Linked DNA regions of Mus musculus. The protein of the gene in region 2 interacts with the protein of the main gene of each other region in a pairwise test. Links are inferred from orthologs where the notes say so. Each region holds a gene or a part of one and is shown on either strand. Other genes may lie near its edges.

The links. The genes of interacting proteins can lie anywhere in the genome.
Region 1: the proteins of Dcx (region 2) and Mid2 interact in binary tests that used the Homo sapiens proteins (3 or more experiments, as listed by UniProt). The two-hybrid records come from large-scale screens. The link is inferred for Mus musculus from reciprocal best matches to the Homo sapiens genes DCX and MID2.
Region 3: the proteins of Dcx (region 2) and Zbtb5 interact in binary tests that used the Homo sapiens proteins (3 or more experiments, as listed by UniProt). The two-hybrid records come from large-scale screens. The link is inferred for Mus musculus from reciprocal best matches to the Homo sapiens genes DCX and ZBTB5.

Annotation. Positions count from the first base shown.
Region 1 is NC_000086.7:140,663,090-140,668,898, reverse strand, and holds the start of Mid2 (probable E3 ubiquitin-protein ligase MID2), read right to left. Parts: upstream 3,944-5,809; 5' UTR 3,625-3,943; coding exon 3,621-3,624; intron 1-3,620. UniProt on the Homo sapiens protein: E3 ubiquitin ligase that plays a role in microtubule stabilization. Mediates the 'Lys-48'-linked polyubiquitination of LRRK2 to drive its localization to microtubules and its proteasomal degradation in neurons.
Region 2 is NC_000086.7:143,929,489-143,935,266, reverse strand, and holds the start of Dcx (neuronal migration protein doublecortin), read left to right. Parts: upstream 1-2,047; 5' UTR 2,048-2,197; exon of another isoform or gene 2,198-2,370; intron 2,371-3,940; 5' UTR 3,941-3,962; coding exon 3,963-4,326; intron 4,327-5,778. UniProt on the Homo sapiens protein: Microtubule-associated protein required for initial steps of neuronal dispersion and cortex lamination during cerebral cortex development. May act by competing with the putative neuronal protein kinase DCLK1 in binding to a target protein.
Region 3 is NC_000070.6:45,008,470-45,014,424, forward strand, and holds the start of Zbtb5 (zinc finger and BTB domain-containing protein 5), read right to left. Parts: upstream 3,944-5,955; 5' UTR 3,755-3,943; exon of another isoform or gene 2,483-3,754; intron 1-2,482. UniProt on the Homo sapiens protein: May be involved in transcriptional regulation.

The DNA.
Region 1 (5,809 bases), about 3.3 Mb from region 2:
TGGTCATGAAAAAAAAAAAAAAGATGAAAAAGGTAGCAGACAGAAAAAGCCACAGAGCACAGCCTTCTACAGTGCACAGAAAACTTTCTGCAGTTTTAATCTATGAAAATGGATGGCGACAGGATTCTTGGCCCTTGAAGGTGAGAAGTGGGAAAGGGCACTAACAGTCTGCCCAGGGCAGACAATAGAGTGGGATTGTCTTTTCTTGCCACCAGTCATCTGAACTTCTCACTTGATGCTGTGACTCAACACACAGAGAAGCACTTTTCTAGCCTCCTCTGTTACCGCTCAGTGATGAACACTGTATTTGTTGAGGATCCAGAAATACACACAGTACAATATCATACTTTGTATCCAATTTTCAAAAAAGTGACTATATTTAGGGCTAGTGAAACTGCTCAGCGAGTAAACTTGCTGACAACCAAGACTGGTGGCTGGAGTTTGATCCAAAACACTGATGCAGTGGAAGAAAAGTGTAGATTTCCACAAGTTTTCCTCTAATCTCTGCTTGTATTCTATGGCACACATGCATGCTCATATGCACGCACATTCACACAAATAAATAACTGTAAAAATTTAAGTGAGTGTCTTATTCTATCCATCATAAACATGTCATACCTCATACTTTAATGATAGAGTGTGTCGAGTCAGGACCCTCTGCTTAAGGAGGCGTGTCAGAGACACAGCTTTCTTTTGCACAGAAGACAGGACAAAAAGTCAATACTAAATGGACTTGGAGCACCCTCAGACACCCTCGGGCCTCCTCTAGCAGCTGAGTCCCATTGCTAACATCTAGAAATTTAGCAAGCTGTATAAAGACCGAATGACAGTCAAGTAGTTATCGCTAAAAACTGCCATCTGAGACTTAACTGTGTGCCGCATCCCTGTCTTTGTCTTTAGGGGCTCTACATCCATGTTAAGGAAGAGAAAGTCTACTTCTAAGGAAAACCTGACAACCAGAGACAATATTCTTCACTCTTCATCAAGCCAATGATTCAAAATGCATTCTTCTGTAGTTTCCTTCCTAATTGTGGTGTCAGCAGGTTTTATGGGAGGAGAGAATGGAAAGGCTCACCACTCAGGACACTGCTTGGATGCAATTATGACACTCCACTGGCACTATTTTAAGACCTGCAGGTTGGAGCAAGTTGCCCTGTTTTTAGAGGAGGGATTAACCAAACCAATTTTATCTAAGTCAATTTGCGCTGTTCAGATGATATGTTTGTGAAGCAACCAAGCCACTCATTTGCAGCAAGTGCCTCTCAGAAGTGGTCTTGCAAGGTACAACATGCTAAGCAGGAATCCCAGTAGTCATGAAAGTAAATAGGAGAGACAGCTCTTCATGTGCCATAACCCTCTCTCCCTACTCCACACATCACCCACCCTGACTGCATCCTAGCCATGGAGCCATGGAACTGTAAGTAGAGTTTAGCATAGGGCAAATATGAGCCCAAAATACTGGGTCAAGGGCAGGTCCTCACTCAACACAGACAGCAGAGGCTTCTGTACATTAAAGGTGCTTTGAAAAATATTGACTCACTGCTGCTAGGTGCTAATTTTGCTTATATAGCCAGACCTAAATGTATCTATATTACTTTTATTGGTCATTAACTAACTCCCCCCATGTAGACTAAAAAAATGGGTGAGGTTGAATATTCAAATGAGTCTGACTCACATTGTTAGGGTAAAGTGTAATCAATATGATTTATGACTCGACTTAAAATCATCACCATTACTTTCTATGCCTAATTGTATATATGTTTCCATTCAGTTGCATATACATTCATGAAACAAATTGACTTAAGATCTAAATTACAATGATAATTTGAATCTCAAGGGAACTAATAATGGCAAATTAGGGTTCCTGTAAATTAGTGTTCCCATTTATACCCAGTCAATCCAGTAACCCAATAAAGGATAAATGAAGTGCTTTCATTGAAGAGTATAATGCTGAGGTTTATAGAATCCTTTTATCTTCAAAGGACCAAGCCAATACTCACAATACCCAGTACACAATATTATGCCTTTTATGCAAGTGAAGCAACTGTGAAAGAGAGGTCATACAAATGTCTAAAGGCCTTAAAGCCAATGCAACGTCACATCTGGAATGAACTCTCTGATCTTCTTGGCTTCCAGGCTTGTGTTTCAACCACATGAAACGAGTTTTGTAAGGAACAATCACGAGAAATCTAATTCATATTATGAGTCTGTGTTAAGCTAATTGATTGAGCAGGAATATATAAAAATAGCAAAGATTGATTCTCCCTTGGGGCAGTGATGAGCAGAGAGGAGGAGGTTAAAAAAAGGTGGGGATGCTGGGATAGGAATCTAGGGTACAGCAAAAGCTCCCCAAGCAGAAGTGAGCAAGAATGTAAACTCTCCATTTAGCAACTCCATCTTCTATTGGAATAGTGTCAGAGATCTGATTCGATTTCAGAGAGGAAATGGAATGGGATTAAAGTCAACTCTTGTGGTCCAATTCGAGAATCAGATTAATTAATCCCCACACAATAGTTGTGTACTATTACAGTTTCCAATGTCTTGCTTCATAAATACTCCTCCTTAGAGACAGACACACAACTAATGCCATTCAGCAGCCCCACCCTCCAAAATCTTCAAAAAAAATCAAAGTGATTGAAAAGCAAGAAGCCGCATTGCACAGGTTGACAGAGAAAAGCTGAGAGTGCAGGAACTCTGGTGGGAGATGTGGGGGCTTGAATAGAGACAGTACCTAAGGAGTGTGGAAGAGTGGGGAAAGTGAAGAGTCCAACAATCCCTGGATCCTAATTTCCTCCTCTAAATCGAAATGCCTCCTAAATAAATAAATACTATGCTGCACGTGAAGTGCGAAACAACCCAAGCCAGCTCATAACCAGTAATGTTCCAGTAATTTTTATGAGCCCGGAATGGAAAAGGCTCCCCTGTCCCTGCTTCAGTCGCAGTGTGTCCTATGGACACACTCAAGTTTTTCCCTCTCCACCCCCCCCCCCCCCACGGGGCTGCTTTCACAGCTAGGCCAGAAATAAAGAACCACCCAGACAGAGACCTGAAGATCGTTTCCCCAGCAGGGAGGAAAAGGGGAGGGAGAATTAAGTTTCTCCCGGGGTTCCCGCTCGCAGGGTGTCCACAGAATCTCAGGCTGCTGCGCCAGCACCACTGAGCCAACCGCCGACCTCGGGGCGCCGCCCGGGCCGAGGACGCCGTGGATTTCGGGAGCGTGGGAAGGCGGCTGCGCCCTTTCCCAGACTTGCGCCTAGGCGCCACGAGAGCTGAGCCGCTCCACTGCTTTCTCCCTGCTCGGCCTGGCCAAGCGGGAGGCCTCGGGCCGGTCCCCAGCCTGGGATCTAGGAGTGCAAACTCCTTCCCAGGAGGGCAGCGGCAGGAGCTCGGGTCACAACAGTGTGACAGACAACCGGGGCCCTGCCATTGCCGCCAGGACCCCGTCTCCCCCCTCTTGCCGCCCCCCCCCCCAAGCCCAAGTGTCCTCGGCCAGTTCCAGCCCCGGCGGCACCTGAAGAGCAGCAGGAGCCAGCCAGGGCCAAGCCCGGCGCGGGCGGCGACACTAGCCACCCCACCACCACCACCATCCCCCCGGGCCTCGGCGAGGGGACGCGTTTTACCCATATTGTTCCCGGGTGCCAGCCATCTCCTACGCGCGCCGGGGAGCGCCGGGCGCTCGCCGGCCTCCGCAGCAAGCTGGCTCGGGCTCCCGTGCAAGCTCCCGGGCCGCTGTCGCTGCTGCCGCCGCCGCCGCCGCCACCACCACTCTAGGCCGCCGCCCGCCTTCGCCGCTGCGGCCGCCGCCGCCGCCGCGCAACAGCCGGGATCCGCCAGCCCGCGCGCCCCACGGGGGACAGCACGGAGACCGCGACGTTCCCGCGTCTAGGTCTCCCGGGCTAAACTTAAAGAGTTTTCGCCTCTCGGTCCAGAGGCAGCACCATGACACCACCGCAGCACCACACTGTCATTTCCGCCGCAGCAGAGGGAAAAAAAAGGCAATCCCTTCGAAAGGAGGGTGGAGTGGGGGCAAGCAGAGCCGAGGCTGACACCCTACGGGAGCACGGGGAGGGGCCGGGCAGAAGGGGCGCTGGGCCACCTTCCTAGGCTCACCTTCCGCCGCCCCCGCCACTCCCAACTCCCCGTGCCCCTCCTCTGGAGGCGCGCTTACATGTTTTCTCCCCTGGCAGGAGTGACCAGAGAAACCCGAGCAAGCAAAGGCAGTGGGTGGGTGGGGTTCAGATTACTACTGTACCTACCAGCTGATTCCAGCAGCCTTTTCTCCAGCACCCTGTCATCTTGATGGAAGACACAGGGAGAAGGGGCCTGAGCAGGCGCGCACGAGCGTGTGTGTGTGTGTGTGTGTGTGTGTGTGTGTGTGTGTGTGTGTGTTTGCGCGTCCACGACCGGGTGGTGTGTGTGAAGCGCAGAAGGAAGACTGTGGCCAAACTCTTCACCCACCTACCTCCCTTCTACATCCACAAACCCCCAGATGAGAGCAAGGAGAAGGCTGTTGCACTCGCCAATGAAAAGAGTGTGCCTGGATCCTCCTCACAGGTCCTACTGGTGAAGCTGTTGTATGCAAAGTTAACTAGAGAGTAAAACAAAAATAGTGGAGGAGACAGAGAAGGGCAGACAATTGAAGGAAACCCAACCCCTTTTTCTTTTGACAAAGGGAGAATGGCAATGTTCTATTGGACTTGGGCACAAGTTGTTCAGGTGGATTAAAGCCACTAAAAGTGTATGGGGTAAGGTTTCTTTTGCACCTTCAGATCCTTGACCAATACAAAAGGGTCACTGCCAAGAGGACAATGAGGCAGATGCTAGCCATCCAGAATACAATGTCCCTAATAAGATCCATTTGGAAGCCAGGAGCCTCCCATTGGTCTGGATACAGCCTGTCTTTTAACCTATCACTGGCTCAAAGACTACCACCTCCCCCCAACACACACACACACACACACACACACACACACACACACACACTTAAAAGGTAGATGAGAGAAGGAAGCCACCTCAGAGGATATTCTTTCTAGCTCCACTCAAAATGAGGAAGGAATAAAGCAATCCGAAACAGCCCCTCTCACATGGGCCTCCCATTACTGTGCTTGGGAACAAATCCAGAAAAAAAAATGAAGGTAGATGGGTGTGTCTTATCAGGGAACCAATAGCAGTCAGCCAACAGCACTGTTAAACAAACCTGCTAGAGAACACTGGAGTGGAAATGAAGGGAAAAACCCAACCACATTACCTAAAAGGAAGTACAGCACCAAGAGATGTAAAAGTTAATGTGTCATATCCAAAGCACAGACAACAAGAGCAAAACCAAACAAATGAGACTACATAGCACCAACACCTACACAGCAGAGTACACAACCGACACATTGGGAATGGGAGAAAATGTTTTAAAACCATATATGCATGATAAGGACTTACTGTCTAGAATATGTGTTTTAAAAGGGGCAGAGAACTTAAATGGGTATTTTTCAAAAATAGAAAAATAGCAGATAATAAGATATTTAATGTGACTAATCATCAGGAAAATGGGAAATAAAACAGTGGAGATGTGTTGTATTTGGTTAACAGGATTATACTGTATTCTTGGACAAGGTCAGATGGGTAAATTCTCTACCATAGGACCTTTGACTCAATAAAACACTTGATTTCTTTTAAGTTCATGAGTCAGAAATCTGCTGATTTGCTGGGCAAATTCACCACACAAATATTAGAAATAATTATATATGTATATTTTATGTGTGTGCATCTATATTTACATTTATTTGGAGTCAGTCTGCCTGCGGAGAGACCCAGG
Region 2 (5,778 bases):
ACTTACCTCCTAATATTTTCACCTACAGCCACCACCTAAAAATTAGTACGATCAGAATTTGAACGCAGGTACTCTGGCTCCAAAGTCCTTTTATACTTTCCTATTCTAAGGTCCCACTGATACTGACCTCTGTTCAGTTCCCAAGATCTGTCCTGCAAGCCAAGATTATAATTATACTATGTTTATTTCCATAGCTTTATAATTAATCTTAGTAGTTTAACACTTGATTTAATCGATCAGTCATATTAGCTATAATCCAAGCTTTGTGGTCTTTCATTTCCATTTTACATATTTTGGCAATTTAATAAAAAAATTTTTTGGGCTTTTTCTTGAAATGTATAGATGACGTTCGGGGAAGACTGATATTCTTATCGCCGCACATCTTTGAGTCTTACTGTGAGCATGGGCTGAATCCCTTTCTCCCCATAACCAGTAGCTGCCAGTATCTCCTTAGCACGCTGAAGCTCCTTACCCATCCACAATGGAATGCTGAGGTACTGGTCTTATTCAATTAATAACAGCTACTATGAGTTCATGATCGCTGTGTCCAGAAGAACCCCCCCCTCCCACTTTGCTCCAGCTCTTACATTCTTTCATTTCCTTCTTCAATGATGAGTCCTGAACCTAGGAGAGGATGATAAAATGTCCCACTTAAGGCTGAGCGAGTGTTCAACAGCCACTCATTCTCAGCACATGGACCAGGTATGAGTCTCTTTGTTAACTGTTTACAGCTGCAAACAGACTTTTCTTTGACCATGACTGAGAAACCCTAACCTTTCGCTAATCTTTAATCTATTAGGTAGAAACACAAACATTTAGAAGGTAGTTTGACACCATGTCTATTGAGCCAAACAACAGTAATCAGTTTCTCCCTAGAGCCTATGACCTCCAAAGACATAGTAGCTTTTAACCAGTTGTATAGAACCAGAAGATTCCACTCTACGGACTAGACCTCAATTCCCAATCTTTAAAACACACTTCCCTTCTTAGGTGCTGCTTTCCCTTTTTTGATGTCTACACACACACACACACACACACACACACACACACACACACACACACACACACTATAAGCTAAAGTCCCATATGAAAGAAAGAAAATAAATCCTTTTGTCTCTCTCAGCCTCGGATACTTCACTCAGTATATCATTTTCGGTTCCACACAATTTCTTGCAAATCTCATAATTTCACATTTTACTGATGGGTGATTAAAATCATGCATATATCTTGCATTTTCATTACCCATTCATCTGTTAACAGACATCTGGGCTGTTTCTATTTTCTGGCTTTTGTGAATAGAGCAGCCATAAACACAGATATGCAAGTGTCTCTATGGTAGGTTATAGTCTCCTTTGGGTATATGCCCAGGAGTGGGAAGGTGAAACATTAACCAATGTTTTACATCAGTCTAAAATGTTTTGGAGTCATGCTGGGCCTAGAGACCTAAGTGCTGGCAAATTCTAGTAGCCAAGAAGCAGAACAGAGGCTGAAAATTTTCAGCAAATGAGAGGTCAGCCTGGGCTACACAGCGAGTTCCAGAACAACTATCACTATAAAGCTGGACCCTGACTCGATAAAACAACTGAACAAAAACTTGGAGAAGTGCCACTTTTCAATTCCAGCCTTCATGATTCCTGCAACTATTTTCCCGTGTACTGTCAATTTACTATTCCTGCTGACTTCGTTTAAAAAACAACCAGTGTTGGATGCATGAGCCGAAATGTTAAAAAATTTACATATTTTTTATTTTCTTTGAAGAAGATAAAAAGAGGAGATCTGTAATTTCTAAGAAACTTGATTTGGCCTGCTGAGTCCAGCCACTAGGCAGAAGGTTTTAGCCAAGTAAAATTGCCAATTTTCTAAGAGAAAGGGCTAGCACATTGCTCATTAGAGCATTCTGAGCTTGCCTGTGCAATCTTTTTTTTCCTACCCTGCAATTTCCTGTGCGTTATAAACGAAACCTTTCTAGCTGTTAATGCAGGCTGTGAATTGAAGAAAAAAAAGCATGTAATTAATCATAGGAGGTTGGGGGTGTTCGCTAAGCTTCAGTTACAGGGGAGAAGCTGGACAAGGCACTAGGACCTAGAAGGCAACTATCCACCCTGGCAGGAATTTCTTGCTTGGAGCTCAGACAACAAAGGCATAGAGAGATTGGTTTTCTTTCTCTCAGCATCTCCACCCAACCAGCAGAAAACCGGTGAGTGGGGCTTTCGAGTGATTTTCAAGCAGAATGTAACAGATGTCAACCGGGAAAGCACAAGGCACACGGCTTTCTTTCTCTGTGTGTTCGCCTCTTTCTTCTCTTTTATTTGCCTTATTCTATAGGATTTTTGTCCTCTAAGATTCTACCTGGGATTTTCCTTTGGAAAAGTGAGTTTGTTGTTCCTTTGTTTTCACTATGATGCTAATTTAGAATAATAGCACTTCTGATTCTAAAGCATAGCTTTATTTGCACAGCCTGCCTGGGGAAAATGCTTGCTACTCATCTTGAGGAGGTGGGCTCTTACTACTGCAGGTTGTCTGACAGAGACAATGCTGAGCTCAGCATAGGTCATGGTGACACTGGAAAAAAAGGGGGTACTGAGCCTGGCAAATATACCAACTACCAGTCCTCCTTTATCTCCTTTCTCCCTGGTTTCTTGCAAATCTCGATGTGGCAGTATATATATAGCAGCTGAGCCCTCTTGCTTTGTGAGTCTTTTTCCCCCCATTTGTGAGATGAATGTTAATAGTTTGGTTTCTTGGATGTCACATTACCTTTGTAAGGGGTTAGGGCTTTGGTTGTATTATTGGGTTGCATGTTTTCATTGTTTTGGACGTTTTTTTTTCTGGTGGGGGACGGGTTCAGGGGGGTTGAAATCCAAGCTTGACAGATGACTTTTTTTTTCCCTCCATCAATACACCTAAGCAATAGACAAGTTTGAAGTGAATTGCCTGCTTCGAGGGCAAAATATTCCTTCAGTCAGGGGAGAAACCCAGAACAATGAAAGGTGTACCTACTTGGAAAGGTCCCATGTGCTATTCAGGGACCCATTTGGGAATCTTTCCACAATTATTCCATTAAGAGGTGTTGCTGCATTCATTGGTCGGGGAGGGGATGAAACACCTGAAAGGAGAAAAAGGATTCTGTGATCAAATGGAAATGAAAGGGAAGCAGAGCTAATAGCTTGCTAAATAACTGGGTTTTTTCGACAATCCCTCCCCCTTTTAGACCCCAGCTTATTTCTTATGGATGCCGTATAGCGGCACCAGCTTGATGGGGAGAGGGTTTGATGAATAGCACAAAGGCACTGGGTATTCCCTGGAGGCTGTCCCTTTAAAAGAGAATCCTAGTTTATTCTGGGGGAGGGGATACACATATTAGAGCAGGCAAAAAAGGACAAGGAATAAAAGTAATTCACCCCCTTCCTAGCCATTGTATTGAGATGCAAAGGCTGCTTCCTACAGGAGGGTGCTAACCTTGGCTAGCTCCCTCTGTTTCTCTTTGAGGGAATTTAGTCAGGCTATGGATTCATTTACAACTGTTAGTCATGTGGCCATGTGTGAAGGAGCAGATGCCAGTTTTAATGTATTTTGCCCGAAGTTACAATTTGATAGGAGCCACTGTCAGGAAGCTCCAGGTTTTTAAGCTATTTCAACACGCCCTCCCCAAATTGGAACAGTGCCAAAAGTGCCACCCTTTCTATCTCTTCCTCCTATCCCCCTCCCCACCATTCAGTCCTCAGCCTACTGCCCAGCCCCCTCCTTCTTCTCTATTAAGATCAATATTCCTGCAGGTCAGGGACAAGCAGCAGATGGGTCACAGGCTTTTTTCAACCAGTTCTTTTCACAGGCAGCAGATTGCAGCTCTGGATCTGGCTAATATTTTAATTCTCCCCCCTCCCTTATCCATCCTTATTCTTTGCCTCTCCTTATCTCCACCCTTTTCTCTAACAATCAGGTTGCTGTGGTTCCACCAAAATATGGAACTTGATTTTGGACATTTTGACGAACGAGACAAAGCATCTAGAAATATGAGAGGGTCACGGATGAATGGACTTCCAAGTCCCACTCATAGTGCCCACTGTAGCTTCTACAGAACCAGAACCTTGCAGGCATTAAGTAATGAGAAGAAGGCCAAGAAGGTACGTTTCTACCGCAATGGGGACCGTTACTTCAAGGGGATTGTGTACGCTGTTTCTTCTGACCGTTTTCGTAGTTTTGATGCGTTGCTGGCTGACCTGACCCGATCCTTGTCTGACAACATTAACCTGCCTCAGGGAGTGCGCTACATTTATACCATTGACGGATCCAGGAAGATTGGAAGCATGGATGAACTGGAAGAAGGTAATTCAAGTAGTGAGTAGTGGGGTGGTGGCCCCTAGAGGGAAAGGACATCCTCGCTTATGGTTACATTTTTAGTCTTCCTTGAAAGAAACTAGGCTATTTGTTTGCTAAAACATCAAGTTGACTGATGCTCAGGCTTCTGATCCCAAAGTCACCACCAGGATCCTTAACTGTCATTCCTCATGGGGTTCCATCTCTGCTGAGGTTGACATGAATATGGGTTTTCTAATGCTAAATGTGCTTATCTACCTGGGTATACAAAGGAAACTCTGAATTGTGACACTCACTCTAGGTGTTGTTTATGGGTAACTCTGTATAGCACCTTCAAAGCAGGCCATGAAACCATTAGGGGAAAGAAGAATGTATGGTTGGTTTAACAGATAAAAAAATGTGCCCAAGTGTCCTATGGACTACTGATAAATTATTTGGGAATTGCCATTCATTAGAAATACGTACCCCAATGTAGGAATTCCTAGATGTGTTCACAGAGGATTAGACTTTTAGGTAAGTGGTTGCGGCTCAGCTGTTGCTTTGGAAAAAACTCACTTAAGGGCGTGTCCATGAGGCTGAGATCATTGGGAGAGATACGAAAGAAAGCTGTAGGTATGTCTGGTATTTTAATGAACACCATTTCTATTAAAGTAGGAATGAGTCACTCTGCCTAAATCCTTTCAGATCATCTCTAGACTTTGGAATTGCTACTGAATTTTGTGTGTTAACCACTGGAAACCATGTAATAACAGAAAAATTCCAGATTTTCCACACAACTTGTTCAACCATCTTATCTTTTCTTAATGGATATTTGGAAAATAGATTTGGGGTCATAGTGTTAATATTTTATGCTGCCATATAAATTATCTTGATCAGTTTAACCCATATGTACTGTAAAGGATAGCTTCAAGGAAAGAGAAACAGCACATTTGGTGACTTAGCAGAGTACCCCAGCTTTTAGGCTTCCTATGCTACTAGACAAAGGAACATAAAGGTTTCCCTTATGCAACATACTAGTTCCCTCATGTAGTTGTTGTTTTCAAAGCACCTGTGTAACATGGTTTGGTCAGGCACCTTATAAGACACAATGTTCACATAGTGGTTCTTTCTGAGTCTCAGGGTTCAAGTCTAAGAGCTTTCTACATAGATGACCTTGAATATCTATGTGGAAAAGGCTTAGACAATTTGATCACATACAAACTTGGTGTGCAAACATTAATTGTAGACTTTCCCAATTATCAAAGAATTAATCATTTTAGTGCACATCTTTAAGTGAAAGAAGGCCAGTTGGGGTCAACTTCAAATCTGGGCGGCTCAGTTGAGGGAGCTGTCCAACAGTGTGATCAATAAGGTATGCATCTTTCTATGAAATATATATCTTAGTCAAAGTTGAGGGATTTCTCTATAATATCTTTTACAAACAAAGCACACTGAATGTCCAAGATTTTCTTAATTTCCATC
Region 3 (5,955 bases), on a different chromosome or scaffold from region 2:
TAGAACACAGGATTTTGCTTCATTTCACTTCCTGGTATGTATGCCTTTAATACTCGAACCATATAATTTATATTTTTCCTTTCTAAGCTTGCTATGCTTGTTCAAACTTCTCTTCATAAGACTTAACCAGAGAACAAAGTCTTTGCTGGGCTTTTTTGAAACTTCCTTTGTCAATGCAATTAATCTGAGTCTCTTCACCTTAGCCTCAGGCACTTTTCAGACAAGGGCAAAAAGTAGCCACATTCTTCACCAAAATACCACAAAAACTGTCTTTATGACCACATTCTGAAATTCTTCTCCTTTGAAATCTCTTGGGCCAGGTCAACACAGTTCAAATTACTCCCAGCAACAAAGTCTTCCATATTCCTACTAGGATGACCCATTAAGCCCCATTTAAAGCAGTCCACTGTGTTCCAAATCCAAAGTCCCAAAATCCACATTCTTTCAAATAAAAGCATGGTCAGCCCTATCACAGCAATACCCCACTCCTGTTACCAACTTCTGTCTTAGGGTTTTACTGCTGTGAACAGACACCATGACCAAGGCAAGTCTTATAAAAAACAACATTTAATTGGGGCTGGCTTACAGGTTCAGAGGTTCAGTCCATTATCATCAAGGTGGGAGCATGGCAGTATCCAGGCAGGCATGGCGCAGGAGGAGCTGAGAGTTCTATGTCTTCATTCAAAAGCTGCTAGTGGAAGACTGACTTCCAGGCAACTAGGATGAGAGTCTTAAGCCCACACCCACAGTGACACACCTACTCCAACCAGGCCACACCTCCAGATGGTGCCACTCCCTGGTCCGAAAATATACAAACCATCATAAATATAAACAAATTACTTTTTTTGTTTTGGTTTTTTTGAGACAGGGTTTCTCTGTATAGCCCTGGCTGTCCTGGAGCTCACTCTGTAGACCAGGCTGGCCTCGAACTCAGAAATCTGCCTGCCTCTGCCTCCTGAGTGCTGGGATTAAAGGCGTGTGCCACCACGCCCAGCTAACAAATTACTTTTTAAACTTAAGTTTTAGAATTGAACTACTAGAACCATAACGTATTCAAGTATGATAGGAGATCAAAAGGAAAGTTATCTACAGATAAAATAAACTGGAATACTAAGATCCTATCATCTTTTCTATGTTACAATCAAGTCAGTACTCCAACATAATTCCTAGTCTGTTTGGGCCAGTAACAAAAGCTTTTGAAAACATTTCCTTCAGTTGTTGAGATCTTTTGGTGCCACTTCTAGGACTTTGGCATTTTTCACTGGGATCCGACCAGGAAGTAGGCTCAGATAAGAATATCAGAAACAGTGACCATGGGGCTTTGCTGACTGCTTTGCTTGATTACCACCTTGCGTGATCTCTTTGCTTACTACTTCGCTTTATTCCTTTGTCTTTGATCTAAGAACTGACCATGTGTCTGGATGAGCCTAGAATGATATAAAAGCAGGCTGGGAAAAAGATAAAGCCGCTTCAGCCTCGCCGACTGACTGAGCTGGCTTGGTCGTTCAGCTGCCTGCAAGTCTGTCTATGCACCATGTGCATGGGGAGGCCAGAAGAGGTGTGAGATCCCTTGGGACTGGAGTTACAAATGTGAGCTACCATGTGGGTGCTGGCATCAAAAGAAGACCAGGTACTGCCCTTAACCACTGAGCCATCTCTCCAGTTGCCATAATAAAAACTTTTTAGCCACAAGAACGATACCTAAAACCCCAAGGCATGCCCAGGAAACAGTAAGGAGCAGGAATTCTAAGCGTCTGGTCTTTAAGCATAGGAAGTCACCTTAGACAGACAGTGTGGTGCTGCTCGCACCCCATCCCACCTGCCACACCGAGGGAGTCAGCAGATAGCATCCCTGTTAATAAAGGGCAGGTGCAGTCAGCACACATGCTCACAACTAACACAAGGAAAACGCATTTACAGCTAATTTACATTCTGAGAAATCAGCTGAGTTGCAAGTTAACATGGAAGCTGTATTTTGGGTTCTTTTTTTCCCCCTTTCTTAGGAAAACTGGAGGCTGACTCAGGAGTCTATCAGCACGGAGGCACCGTCTGCCGCTCACTCAGCACAGGATTTTTAATAGGATGGAACTAATGTTAAGAACTTTAAATACTAAAAAGTGCATTTTGCTGTCCAAATAATTTTTTAAAAAATTCTAATTAAATTTAATTCTAATTGGATAGTCTAGAGTAGTCTCTTCTGAACACACTGACCCTTAAAATTAGGGAAACACCCCTTCTTTAAAATGCTTTTCCCCAAAATCTCATTACTCATCAATTCAGCAGAATTCTGCTGGAAACACATCTAGAATAAAAAACGGCCAGCACCCCAGCAGACAAAAAAAAAGTTTTGTTTTCACCCAACTTTTAGGGAAGGGGGAAAAAAAAGCAAATCTTCCGAAAACAGACTTCTCACAAAGTCCTACTTCCATTTACTTAGCAAAACCCCAGTGCCCAGAATGAGCCCTCGATCTATTGACCTTACCTGGCGGGTCACCAAGGCTGCAGCAGAGGCCAGCTCTGTCTCTCCTCTTCCCAAGCTCGCTGAGATTTCCAGAAGGGTTAAAGTGGCCTTCCTTTAGCTTGCAAGCTTTTCTCTTAACACTCTCTTTTGCCCATCTCCTTTCCCCTACCCAGTAAGCCTTTAGCTTACTGCCAACCACGAGACTTTTCAGAAAATGAAAGCAAAAATCTCTAGCAAACTAACGAAGTGCCCGGTCCACTTTTTAAAACCATATAAAGTACACATGTCATACAAAGACAAATCACGAACGAGTAAGGCACAGTATTCCCTTCAATCTCTAAAAACCTAAATGTATGTAAATTCAACTCAGCAGTACAAGAACATATTTTGGAAATGTTTTTCTTTCAGTCCTTGAAAATTGCGAATTTTATTAATTTTAATTACCTAGACTCAGATCACGCTACTAAGGTAATCAAGAGTCTTTGACCCAAAAATTTTCCTCCAAAAATAAAAATAACCAAAATGTGGTTCCTACAGTGTTCGCCACGATGCTCGGACGCAGACTGACCATAGTAAGTGGCACTTTAGAAAAACAAAACAAAGCAGAAACCCTTAAACCGCTCCCTTATTTCTACTGTTGTTTATGTGCTAAGCAGTCGGTCCTCCAGGGGAAGATGGGACCGCTGTCTCTTACCACCGCACCCCACAGCTCCTCGCACGAAGCCTGGAAGAAGTGGCCATTCAATAAATGCCTACTAAACACTTTTGTCTAACAAGTTGGGGCATTCCCAAACGCTGACTCCACCCCTGTCGTCGGCCGCTGGCTCCCGAATCCAGACAGCTTATGGCCTTGCTCTGATGAAACGAAACCTCATCGCTCAGGAGGACCCAGGGCAGGATCAAGAGAGCCACTCGCCTCCATCCCGCAGGGCAGCCGCTCCTCGGCTCATCCCGCTAGGATGCAGATCCCGAGCGCGGGTTCCCACAGCATCCCGAGAGGCTCCATGTCCAGCAGCAGATCTGCAGGGCACTAGTCCCTGCCCACCCCGCACCGACAGCCGGGCGTCGGGACACAGGGGACGCCTGCGCACAAGAACTGAGCTACCACCCTCCTGGCCCCACCGAGGCGAAGGGTAACAATACCCCTCAGCAGTAAGACAGGGTGGACAGGCGGCCCCGGAACGGCTGCGCGCTCCCCGATGCCTCGGCGCGCTCCCGGTGCACAACCGCCTGCACGTGAGCGCGCCCCGCGCGCGCGCGCCCAGGCCACTCTAGCTGATAGGGTCGCCTCACCTGAGCCGGGCTCCGCCCCCCTTCTCCTCGCAGGAGGAGGCGGTGGCCCTCCTCCGCTCGGACCGACCCTGAGGAAGGAGGCGGGAAGGTCCAGACTGGCTTCCCCGGCTGTGACTTCCGCCCGCCCCGCCCCTCGCTCCCGGCTCCTTCAGCCCGTTCGCGCGGTTCTTTGAGGACCCGGCGGAGGCCTACAGTAAACGGATGTGAGGTACCCATGTCACCGCCTCCACAGGCCTCCAATGGCCAATCATCAGGAGGGCGGGGCCACAGTAGGAGTGACGTTCTGAAAATCTGACCAATCCGCCATCCCAGGACCCCGGCTGTGTTTACTACCACAGCATCCGTGAGCGCTCTGACCAATCACAATTTGCCTTACAGCCCGTAAAACTGTTCTCAAAGATCTTTGAAGGCGGGACTTATCACTTAGCAACACCAGGTTTGGCCTGTAGAAAAGCTATTTTATGTCACGCCCAATCAGAACTCAGCATGAATAAGGAAAGCTAGTGTTTTCCGTCTACTTGAGCCAATCGCAATGACTACTGCCAGCCCTGAGTCCCTCCATTGGCTCGCGCTGACTGTGACCTGGAGTCTGAAGGACAGGTGACTTCCTCTCGCTGTGAGCTGGAGATTACTTCTAACTTGTAGGTTTGAGAAAAGATGTAAACGGAACCCCAAGAAGCCGAGTGAGACGAATGGCGAGCTTCACAATGAGTAGGAAATGCCGTCGGTCTAATGGTGGTTGGGTGGATCGTCGCCCGCATCGCGTCTCAGTTGCCCAGACGTCCAGCATAGCAACGGGAGGGTCGGAACTCAGTCCGACGTGTGCCCACCAAGCCATCAACTCCAGAATCAAGTTTACAGTCGCCACCACCTTAAAACTTCAGGGCTCAGCCCTCTTATCAATGCCGCAAAAGAGTCTGCTGGACCGGGTGGGAAAGAGGAAGGCCCGGCTGCCGCCTTGGCCTCTTGCGGTATACCACCGAGCAGTAAAATCAAGATTATGTGTTCTAGATAGCTTTCCTGTTACTTTGATAAAACTGAACAAAGCAGTTTGGAAGAGGAAGTGTTTACTGGGCTTATCACCATGGTTTCGGAAAGTCCTGGGAAGAATTCAAACAAACCGTAGACTAAAGCTACCTCCTGGCTTGGGCTCAGCTGTCCTTGTGCTCAGTTCACGCCTGCGTGAGAATGGACAGGCCACAAGGGATGAGCCCTACTAAGTCAATTAATAAGCAAGCAATCCCTTTTCCCAAGTGAAGGATAGTATAAAATTCTTAGTTGGTTCACAAGCTAATAGGGTTTCCTAGGGCTTCATCCATCCTTAGTTTGCACCAGTTCCCAACCCCAATAAACCCATATAAAAACCACACAATCCAGTTATAAATATAAGCTATGTACCTAGACTGGACAGCTCTAGCACTGTGCTAACTTATTCCCCAGCTGCGAGACCCTTTGCTATTTGCAGTTTCTCCTGGCCACGTGGTTCTGCTCCTCCTCTTCTTCAGTCCTCTCCCCTTCCCTTCTCCTCTCTACCTGTCCCTACTCTCCAAGACCTCCCACCTCTCCCCTCCCCTGCCCAATTACAGGCCTCAGCCTTTATTGACCAGTTAAAATGGGGAAGAGGATGCCCTCAATACCCTCCCCTTTCCCTCATCCCAGTTTCCTTTCCAGATTAACCCTTTAGCTCCTGACATTCTCTCCCTTTTCTACCATCCACTCCCACTACAAAATGTTTTTTAAGAGAGCATACAGAGCCGAATACAGTAGAATAATAATTACACAAAAATAGAACCTGGTGTGGTAGCTCACACATTTTATCCCAGTACTGGGAGGCAGAAGCAGATGGACCACTATGAGTTTGAGTTTGAGACCAGCCTGGTCTACACAATGTGTTACAGACCAAGCAGGATTATATAGTAAGACCCTGTTAAAGAAGAAAAAGTGCATATGCACAGAGATAAACCCAAGAGATGAAACAGAATGTTAGCAATGGCTCTCTTAAAGGGATGTGAGATTATGGGTTACTACAATTTTATTATCCATAGTTTCTGTGTTTTATACTAGTATACATCCAATATGTGTTATTTTGGTAATTGTTTTAATGATTTAATAAATGTCATGAAAATGAGAACACTTATATGTTTAACAAGATTTAATATAAAGCACTGATTCTTTTTTTTGTTGTTTTTGTTTTTGTTTTT